Drosophila melanogaster: one gene and its partners. The gene in region 2 interacts genetically with the main gene of each other region. Each region holds a gene or a part of one and is shown on either strand. Other genes may lie near its edges. The genes, in order: ptc, dpp and ey.

What was found.
Region 1: of dpp (region 2) and ptc, changing one suppresses a phenotype caused by changing the other (phenotypic suppression), as found in Drosophila melanogaster (3 studies listed by BioGRID).
Region 3: of dpp (region 2) and ey, changing one enhances a phenotype caused by changing the other (phenotypic enhancement), as found in Drosophila melanogaster (3 studies listed by BioGRID).

What each region holds. Positions count from the first base shown.
Region 1 is NT_033778.4:8,647,683-8,651,437, reverse strand, and holds the start of ptc (patched), read right to left. Parts: upstream 1,790-3,755; 5' UTR 1,017-1,789; coding exon 888-1,016; intron 742-887; exon of another isoform or gene 385-741; intron 188-384; exon of another isoform or gene 1-187. UniProt on the Drosophila melanogaster protein: Segmentation polarity protein. Acts as a receptor for the hedgehog protein (hh). Associates with the smoothened protein (SMO) to transduce the hedgehog signal leading to the activation of wingless, decapentaplegic and patched itself.
Region 2 is NT_033779.5:2,426,248-2,430,002, reverse strand, and holds the start of dpp (decapentaplegic), read right to left. Parts: upstream 1,632-3,755; 5' UTR 953-1,631; intron 1-952. UniProt on the Drosophila melanogaster protein: Required during oogenesis for eggshell patterning and dorsal/ventral patterning of the embryo.
Region 3 is NC_004353.4:702,637-706,391, reverse strand, and holds the start of ey (eyeless), read right to left. Parts: upstream 1,742-3,755; 5' UTR 1,228-1,741; coding exon 1,119-1,227; intron 1-1,118. UniProt on the Drosophila melanogaster protein: Involved in eye morphogenesis.

The DNA of each region.
Region 1 (3,755 bases), on a different chromosome or scaffold from region 2:
TCGGACCAGCCGCGCACAGTAGCGCCAAAGTAATGAAGTTGTCTGTGGATATGTCCGTCTGGAGTTGGATCGGTCGGTTTGGGATCGGCGAAACGAGTACGAAAGTCCTGCTGTGTGTCTACGTCTGCGCAGCGAAAATAGATGTGGATTGATGGCGGTGCACAGAGAATAAATACTAACAAGATTGGTAAAACATCCAATTTGTTGTAGTTTTAGACTGCAGCGAAAGGGTTATTCCGTCTACTTTTACGGCGAATAGTTTCATAAACAAATGTCTATATTTGGAGGTAAATCCTCCACGCTTTTTATGTCCAGAGAACGAAATAGCAAAATTAGCATATAAGCCGATTGGCGTGGATTTCAACTAATCACTGTAATTAATAGGCTGCCTGGCAAGCGAACATCAGACAACTATATTAACCAGGGAATCGAACGAAAGAAAACGAAACGAATGAAATGAAATCGAAACGACCGGCGAAGAAGACATCGGCGACGAAAAAAACGCGAAAAATATTGCGAGAGATATTGGCAATAAAATTTATTGAAATCTGTCCCGGCGACTTAATGGCCGCATTAAACAAAAGCCGCTGCTCTTCGGATTTACAGTCGAACTTCTACATCATGGTTTTTAGTTAAGTGTCTCAATATTCTAATGACAAGAATTGTACAATATAACAATTTCAAATTTTAAAAAGATTGTAAATTTACTTAATACTTCAAATCTTTTGCTTAATTTAAAGTAAAAGGGATTACTAACAAAAGTTTCGAAAGAGCCAGATTTTCCATTTAAACTTATAAAGGATCCTCCGAATACGATTCAAGAATATTATTGAATTCAACACATGGCTATCCTTCACAGTGAAAGTTCACTGTAGTTGGGCACTCACCTTATCTATCTGATCGAGCGCCACTTGGGCGTCCACCCAGCTGGTGCGTATGTAAAGATCCGAGAATAATTTCTCATCGACCACATCGCCGTGTGTGTCCGGAACGCGTGGGAGGCTGTCGCGGTCCATTATGGTTATGTTTATAGCCAGATTCCGGACGGAATCGCGTGGCGGAGATGTGCAGATGGGAGTGTGCTGCGGAATCGGTCTTTCTACAGTGCCTGCCGTTCGTCTGCGTCCTGAGAACTGAGACTTGGGAGACAGTGTGCGGATTGTTCGTGGACTTTCGGTTCGATTAATTGTTATTGGAATCTCGTATTTTGTTTGGCTGCATTTTGCACTGCATTCCGCATTTTTATTTTTAATTATTTTGTATTTTAAATCAAGAGACGCTCTCTCCCGCGCTCTCTCGCTCACTCACTGAGCACGCTGTGTATCTGAGCTCTCGTTGTGTTGTTTTGTTGTGATTGCTGGCTTCGCTTTTGCTGGGTTTTTTCGACGATTAAAACGCGGTTTTCGGGTTTTATCTTGGGCACAATTTCTCAGGGGAATTTGACAGAATTTTCACAGATCTTTTACACATGGAAAAGCGGCAGTCGGACGACTCACGTATTCGGTTTTCTCTCTCGCCTTTCGCTCTTTTACCTTTACTTTACTTTGCACTTGGCGACGCACACACACAAACACTGGCTGGTTGGCTGGCTTTTGTTGTTGCCTGGCATTTAATCCATGAACTTCGCCTCGCATCCGTGAGGTACAATATCTTAGCTTTTCCACGAGTTCTGTGATATCTATCTTGTTAGTATACCACACACAGAGAGTGCCAGTAGTCGGAAATACGAATAACAAGTCGTCGCGCTCCGCACTTACAACCGTTTCGTTCGAGGATCGCACGCAGTCTGAGAGATGTATCTGTATCTCGTGGATGCGGCACGCCAGCCAGGCCAACAACTTCATTAGGCGAGCGCGCGCCGCTGTTTCTCTCTCTCACTCTCTCTTGCCCAGCGGGCGTCTGTGTGCACTGTTTTGCGCCTGTGTGCGTGGGCGACACTCAACACACAACACAGACGCTCTCCCTACTCTCACTCGCTCTCTTGTTTCGTGTGCGGCCATTTTGGTTTGAGAACGCTCTCTGCGAGGGCTGCTTTAACGATAGCTCAACGCACAAAATACCGAGGGGTGATTCAGGAGTTTTTCCGAGAAAATACCAAGTTTGTTATATAAAATTTATGAATGCTTGTTGCAAAATAAAGAATAACTACCAATGTAAATACATATGTTAACAGAAATTAAGAAATAAAATATATATCTATTACTGTTTAAATATCCTTTGTAAATATTTAAGTGATAATAATAATGATAATGTAATTGTTGAGCATACGGACTTAATGCTTGGAACTCATTGTTTACATTTATACTTTTTATAAACAAATAAAATATGTAGCTCTAATATACCCAAATAGCTCCGCCACGAGAGCGCTAATTTCTATTGTTATTCGCATGCCGTAATTTGTTTTTTTTTTGCATGGACCACCCAAAGTGCCTTGGCTGCTGGTTTGTTGTTGCCACTGTAGTTTATTTTCGCTGCAGTGTGGACCACCCAAAAATAAATTTGTTTCTGCCTTCATTAAACTGAAACCGCCAAGCGATGTGGGTGGTCCCCTACCCAAACGTTCAGCTCTGCCGATGTCGGCCTTCAGCGTCGGCAGCGCTGCCCAATGGAGCTTTCGTCTCAGTGTGTGTGTGTGTATTTGTTTGGGGGAAGCGCGTGCGTGGCAGGCTGCGCATGCATGTGTGTGTGTGTAGCCGTGCCGCGAACTGTTGGCAAATTTGTTAGCTTTACATTGCTCGTGTTGTTGGTTTTATGGCTGTTGCTGCTGCCCCATGCGATGATGTCTGTTTTTGCATGTTCCGATGCTAAATTATGAGCGGCAGGATGTTTCTGCTTTTCCCTTTCCATTGTTTTTGCAGCCTCTTTGCCCCATGAATCTCAAATATGCGAGGGGTTATGAGTGTGCGAGGACCACACAAGTAGGTTTGTTTTTGCCGGCAAATTAAAACACAGAACAAATTATATGTTTATTAGACGTAGTCTTTAAATATTTACTCTAAAATCGACTTATAAAAGAATTTTTTTTTTTTATTTAAAAAAAAAAAATAGACTAAACAAGTTTTTTTTTAATTTCTGAATAATAATATACCAATGGAATAAACTCATTTTCATGCGACAACCGCAAACCGATCTTTTTTGTGCACCACGAACTTAAGCCAAATGACATGTTATCTTTAAAACTTCTTTGGATTTATGAATGGAAATGCATTTGCTTCTGGTGTTTCTCCGCATTCCACATTTTCCCTTTCCAATTGAGGCAACAACAACGAAGTAAACAAATAAGAACTCTTCGAAAAAATTGGCGCTCGAATCATCAGCACCATGGAAATTCAAATTGAATGCAACTGCATAGTCATCGTGCTCCCCTCGTGCCCCTTCGCTCCCGCTCTCTCTTTCGGGGAGAAAGAGTGGGAGAGGGAGATGTGAATGTGGACCCACCACCAAGCGAGCTATTACAATCAAAAAACAACAACTCTCTCTCTAACTCGCTCACCTGAACTAACGTTGCAGCACATTCATTTGTTGTTCTCTCTCTTCAAGCTAATCGTTCCCTCATCGCCCTTTCCATTACTCCCACCTCCGCCCGCTCACTCTGCGTGTGGCGCATTTTGGCGACATGGGCGGCATTTTTTCTCCAACATGCATATTTTAGCTTTATTTCGCTCTCCCCAGATTGCGCCATCTTTGGCTTGCTCTCGAGTTTTTGCTCTCCTCTCAATGACTTGCAGTTCGTTTTGCTGTCGCTCAATTCGCAT
Region 2 (3,755 bases):
ATAAACTAATTGAGCCTAGTGGGGTGAACTTTGACACTGATTTAGTGCCCCCAGTCGCATTAGCAAGGCAAATCGAATAAATCGATATAGATACCGATTAAGATTTAGATTCAGATTTCGATGCTGATTCCGATCCCATGTGGGATGGCTTATGCAATCGTGATCGATCAAACCAAACCAAAGCAAAGCTAAGCGAAGCAAGCCCTGCCCAGCCACGCCCAGCCAGTCACATATAATTATTCAATTAGCCAAATGGCGTCATAAATTAACGAGTATATGGCATATGGTCAAAGGGTTTTTTACCATGGCCAATGTCAGTGTCAGCCGCTAATTGTGACTGGTGTGGAATGCCGTTAATTCAGTTCATCACTTGGCCCCCATGAATATGCAAGTGACACCCGATCTCCACATGTCTCTGCTGATAATGTCCGGGGTCCAGAGATAGAATTTCACTTTTTCCCCGGATACTGGCGTAAATCTGTCGAAACTTTATGCAGTGATATCAAGTTGGCGGAAGGGACTTATCTATTGGCAAACTTATTAAAGCAAACTAGATTTCCTCATAGTAATATAGATTTTTTAGGTGTCTTCATAAATGTAAATGCATAAAAGTGAAATGGTTGCAAAGTTTATCATTAGAAATCTAAACAGTGCTAAAGTCTCTGAAGAAAATGAACATAATATACTGCAATTGCTATTGTTTCAGAAATAATCCACTGACTTCTGAGTTACATGTATTTATTTCTTTCACATTTATATACATAAGTAATCAGCCAGTCTATATGCATTGTATTCATATGTATATGTGTATGTGACTCACGCATTGCACCCAGTTCCAGTTTTCCCAGTCAGCTGTTTAACAGCCGTTCAATTGATTCGATTGATCTCGAATTGGACACGCAGCCACCATGGCGTATGCGCATTATTTGCTAACACTCTCGGCTTGGCTTACCTGGTGCACCTGCTGCACGCCGCTCAGTTACGCTCCAAAATCCACAAATCCTTTGGCTGCAACTGCAACAACAACCAATTCTGGCAGTTCGCGAACGTCGCATACATTATACACTGGTTCGACTCGGATATCCACTCAAATACTTTCGACCTATCTATCTCGCTGTGGCTTCGATTCGATTCGATTCGACTTCGACTTCGATTTTGGCTTATGGAAATCACTGGCACTTCACATGTTTGCTGCTGACGATGGTGGCCAAGCTCAGACTTTGGCTATTTTCGATTTGGATTTGGCACACAGACACATCACTCACTCACACTGGCACACTCGCAAGAATGGCGATGGTTACGAATATATTATCTGATACCGAATCGGTATCAAAAATCGGAGAGGCTTTGGCTGGCTGACGAGCGATCGCGGAAACGAGAACGAGAAACGACGGGAGATATTTTCTGTTTTTTCTGTGGTTCTTCAGGCGCGACTATCAGCGTTTAACTCGGATTTACTTTATTTTATGGCCGCAGAAACCGCGAACGATTACAGAGCAGAAAAAAAGTGATTAGAGGCTGTATATTCGGTTGTAACCAGCGATCTTTCGCCTCGATTTGGCGACACTCTGTGGACGAACGAACGCGTTTTTCGGTTCCGTACAACGAGCGTTGAGCGCAAAAAACTGAATGAGCGTCCAAAGCGGCCGAGGCAAGGCAAACAGGCAGGCAGGCAAAAGCGATCCGGAGACGGAGCAGCAAAAGCAAAAGCAGAAGCAGAGCCGAGCAGCAGCAACAGCAACATCAAAGCAAAGCACAGCACAGCAGCAACAGCAACACAAGCAGCAACAGCAACACAAGCTAGTTAGTTAGTTTTGAGCTCGTAGTAGTGAGAGTCAATCGCACACACACTGCCGACCACGATGGCAAGTTGCTTAAGTCGCTCAAAGCGCCATTTAAGTTGAGTAATTAAAACAGGCAGTATGTGTGTGTGTGTGTGTGTGTGCGAGTGCGATTAATTATTAATCAAGCCAAAAAAACAACAAGCAACCGCTAAGGCAACAATAACAAACAAGCCAGACTCACAATTACAATATTTCAGCTCTCTCAGTCGCCGTCTTCAGTCCACAGTCTCCGGTCCACAGTCTACAGTCAACACAGAGTCTTCGGTCCTCAGTCTTTAGTGTTCAGTCTTCTGTCTTCTGTCTCAGCTGCGATATCTTGACTTTCTTCAAGTCTCTCTTCGAGCCAAAGCCACAGAGCTGTTACACATTTGACTTTTCGGCGCTGCCGCAACTGGTTCGGTTTATTTTTGGCTCTAAATCTCGGACTAAGTCGCGGACTTCTCGAGACTGCAGCGCTGCTAATGCAAATCTAAATTGATTGCAAAATGCTTAGAGTCCCGAGCAGACAATCTTTCGAGTCGATCGGCGTTGCCGGATTGTTCGGCTTGTTCGAGTTATAGGAGCTAGATCGTTTTGAGATATGCCAAAGTGAGAGTTTAATGAAATCGAAGCACAAAAGTCAGGCTCTGCAGATAACACACACATGAGCTCCGTTTGACTCATCGATCTATTTAATATTTTTAAAAATTTTGTTTGTCCTTCAAAATGTTTTATTTGTTATTTAGGCCTTGATACTATGATTCCCCAAGCCTTACTCACCATATCAATCATACGCCTCGTGTGCCCATCTGGCAACGCTAGCTGCCCAAAATCCATGCAGCAAACTCAATTGATGCCGCTGATCTGGTTGTTGTTCTTGCCGCTGATGTAATTAAAATATTGCACTTGTTACTTTTACCAGCGGCTGTTCTGTCTCTTTCCCACAGCCTTTCTTCCCGTATATTGTGCTTGCCTCAGGAACACAAGTGCAACAAAACAAGCAGCCAAGGAGCAGAAAAAGCACAACAAGCACGCTGACAACATCGACTTCATCGTTCGCCGTGTGTCGTGTATTAAAACTTGTTCATTGGAATTTTCTAATAAATCAATAAACGCAGACAACACAGCGCAGTGCGGCGGGGGGCTCCAAGGGGGGATCCAACGGGGGCTCCACAGAGGGGACTTCGGGGGGCCAGCGGCATCTTGGCACACAGCTGGCGGCATCGGCGGACCGACGGACAGATTGCCGCACGCATCTCGCAGATTGCGCATTTTATAAATAGCTGCCTCATTTTTTTTCTATTTTTTAAGGTTATGGAAAATTTTAGTTGTTGTTATTATGATTTCTTGCTATTTTCCTTTCCAACTCGATCAGCCAATCGCGATTGTAGGCTATGGCCAAGCGGCAGCATTGACAACACTTTCACACAGTCGATGCACCCAGAGAAATATAGATATTCAAATCAATTACAATTCCATTATGTAATGAAAATGTTGTAAAGTAAGGAATAACATCCTTACAACATAACGAAAGATTATGGGAAACAAGTACGCACTTTGTAAAAATGCCTGCCTATTACCTGATTAGCTAAATTGCACTTCATTTCTCTGCGTGTAAAATAGTCGCTTAGCCGTCAGTATTTCCGTAAATAAAGCGCTTGGGAAGTGGCAATTAAGTTAACTGTGGGCTGGCCACAACAATCAGGTAAACGCCATGAAATGTACGCCAATCGATTGGCGTTTTGCACATTTATTTATCTATATTTTCTATAAGTAACGATCGCTTCCTATTCTTTTTCGAATTGCCATAACGCTGGCACTTCGATGCGGTAATAAAGGTGAAGACTTGATTTTTAGTGCGTTTATCGCGGAGGCAACAATGTTGCCACTAAATTTGCCATGTTCCAGCCCGATATGCTAATAGGTCTAATA
Region 3 (3,755 bases), on a different chromosome or scaffold from region 2:
AAGAATACAAACGGATAAATCATAGCTAGGTATACAACCAAATGGTTAAAGAATTCAACTAGAATATCACTTTTGACCTAAGCTATTACTTAAAAGAACTAGTTTAAAAAGTTCCCAGTATGAACGAATATATACCATAGACTACTTGGGCCGTTTATGGGGCTTTTAGAAGGAGGCGCTTAATCTTTTTCAGTTAGCGTTATGAGCTAAAACAGGAGAAAGAGAGCTATAGTCCGGTTTATTGACTATCAAATACCCGTAATTGGGCTGCATGTGTGAACGAGAAATTGCAATCTTTTGGCTCTTATAGTTCCTAAGAACTCGACGTCCATGCAGACGGACATGGCTAGACGGACATGGCTAGATTGACCGATTGACCATGATCAAGAATATATATACTTTAAATTTAAAAAATCTAATAACCCTTTAATCTATGAGTAACGAGTATACAAATTTGTATAAAACGAAAGAGTCAGCTAGTATGAAGTACTCAATAATCATATACGCGCGGGATAGCATGAGATACGCCCGTAGGAACGCCATTGATCATTAAACGCCTTTGCGTTGTAATTTACAATGTGAGTGAGTGACAATGGTTTAATATAAAATTAAGCTGCGTATGCATTACTGGAATTTGCATAATTCCTACTTATTTCGCTTCCAAAGGTCTCGACGTCAATACTGACGGACAGACATGCCAACGGTCATCGGAAAATCGACTAGCCGGGAACTCTTCCTTCCACTAACTACTTTAAATACAAATTAGCAACAAGCTACGGGTATAATACAAATATAGGTTTTTCGAATTATAAGAGTCACGGCGAAGATTTGAATATCTTTGATTTGGACAATTTATACGGAGTATAAAGCCGTCTTACTCTCGGGAGTTTGAGTTTGAGAGAAGAGTTCGCAAACGATTCAGTTCAGAAGCTTTTTATCTATTGGTAAACTGCGCCAAAAGAGACCAACAGCCGAACGAAACTGCACTCGCCTAGTAGGACCGGATCAACTGCCCATGGGCAGCATTAACATATGTGTTGGCTAAGACTCATATATATTTATAAGAGGGTCGGATAAAGACGATGATGCCAATCAAGAAATTTAAAAAATTCACTTACCCTTGTGAGCCATGTCTTCTAAAGACGGCAGGCGCTCTATCAATGTTCCCGCTGACCATGGGGGAACCACGGTGCCTATAGCAGTTGGAGTTGGTTGCAATGTAAACATAGTTGGATCTCAGTTTTTATTACATGCACTGCTCATGAAAGCTTTAGCCAAGAGACTGCTGTGTTCAGCCAAACGCACGCCGTGCGAACTCTTGCAGGGCGAGTCAAGCAAGAGTTAAGAGTAAATTTGCGCAGATGGTGAGAATGACGTCCTGCAGTGATCAAAAAACCTATTGTTGATCGCGCCGTGAGGACCTAAGAGTTACGAATTCGGAAACACAAATATAACTGAGCAGCCGCTTTTGTTTTAGTTCACTTGTTCATTTTTCGAACGCCACTTTTGATTGCACTCATGTTAGCATCATATTTGTACTGCACGTAACACGTATTATTCCCGGGTCTACCGATTGCTAACTTAGCCGGTAATTTCATTTGATATAAAGATTAATACGCACGGTGAATCGAACAACCTTTCTTAAACTTCGCGACACGGCGGCGGAACAGTATTTACCTTAGAAGCGCAACACGAAATAATAATGTCACGACCTGCCTACCCGGATCCGTTTCAGAAACAGACTAGGCCGACCCTCGGCTGGCCAGCACCCCCCTGCGCAAAAGGCTGGGTTTGTTGCCACGGAACCGCGTGCGATTGGCAAAGACCAGCATGGCTGGTCCACTCACCACCATTTGCTATAGGCTAGCCCCATGATTGGTTGTTGAAGCACACCAGTTGTCCCTCTCGCACCCGTGTAAGGTTAGTTGGCGGAAGATGAAAGCGATTCGGCACGGTGCAGTTCTGCAGCTGCGTTGTGTCGTTAAGCATATCGTGGCAACGGAATCTGAAAATAAAGGAAGAACCAACTCTAGACGGACCAGCAGCACATAATGGAATGGTTTGGTCCTGAACAGACATGAAAGTGCTGGTCTGGAACTGGATGTTGTTCCTTCCAGCAAGAAACTGTGTGTAAACGGTGCAGCGCCTGCCGCTTTCACCGCCTTTCGAGAAGTCGCCCAGTGCCACACCCCCCCCCCCCCCAGCAATTACACACATGTTGCATTCCATTTGAATTCAAGCTGGCCAGACAAGTTGCCAGCAGCACACTCGTCCAATGGAATTGTTTCATTCCGATACAATAAGCGCTTCACATTTCCGTTAACTACCCGCACGTTTCCGCTTCGGCAGTGCGAGCCTACACACACAGCCATATCGAGGGGAGCTGGGTGTGGGCGTACGGTTGTTTAGTAAAATGTCGACAAGCCTAAGCACGGTCACACCCACCAGCCACCATCCCATAAGCTGTCGTCACATGTGGAGGCTGGGTGGGCCCCAAAGAGGAAGTTCCTGTCCTGCTTTTGCGCCGCACAGCGAGAGAACGAGTTGCCAATAGCCTGAAAGGGACGGCCAGTGTTATGGCTAAAAGGCCATGTTTCAAAATCCTCTAGAGAAATATTAAAAAACTATAGCGCACCTACACGACTGTATGGGATAATGTCGATTTAAGTGCAATTCACAAAATTCAACAGCAATATCCGGCCAATTTTTCTGTTTCCAATACAATTGGGCTCTCCAATGCGAAGAGTTCTTCTCACACGGTTTATAACGTCCTTATGACTTCTGAAAAGTGAAATGTAATAATAATGCATATTACTTCTAAGTCACTTCCAGAATGTTTTTAATGTACCCTTGCAATAGTTCTACATTGTATTTATAATATTTAATTTTGTTCTGTCGAAATTTGTAGCAAATCTGAAAGAATTGGGGTTGAAATATTTGACATATTTTAAAAACATTAGCAATCACTAAACAATTTAACCAAGCCCGTTGACATTTTTATGAATAAAATGCACGCACGATCGATATCTGAATATATGTGAGAATGTTAGGCGCGCAACTGTTCTAAATACTTAACTTACTGGGCGTTTCATTGACTATAAAATGTTTGAACTTACTTTCGCACATGTAATTTTTATTATTACAGGTAAGACTGAATCATTTTCATTTGATCCGATTGCCATATCCCTTTATAATATTCAAGATTTAATATGCACAGATTACATCATAAAACGCCTAAAGGTGGAGGAAACAAATGTTTTTATTAGGCTACATGGTAGCACATGAAAGTATGTCCCCCGCAGGAAGCTGAATCAGCCCTGCTATCATCATATTATCTTCGCACTGGTGCTGAGGATGGAACGCAGCCCAAGCAATCGCCACGTGGCACGTGCCAACGACACGGCACATGCTCGTGGAGCAAAAAGTTGTTCCGTTTCGGCTTAGTCTGCTTCAGATGCAGACCGCCTCCGAGGGTTTCGACACCCATATATTAATAATAGCAAGAATCGCCAATAAAAAACTCTTCGTTTGGAGATTGGCTAGGTCGTCGATTCAGTAAGTGATCGAGATCTGGAATACATGTACTTACATATATATGCTGTTAACGGGATGGAAGTCTGGGTAGGCGGGTATCAATAATACATTTGCGGGCAAAATGTCTCCAAGGGTATATTAAGATATAGGCACTATAGAGTTCTTTCTGACTGTTTTGTGAGTACCGCGATAACAAACATAGCATATGAGTAGAATCGGAC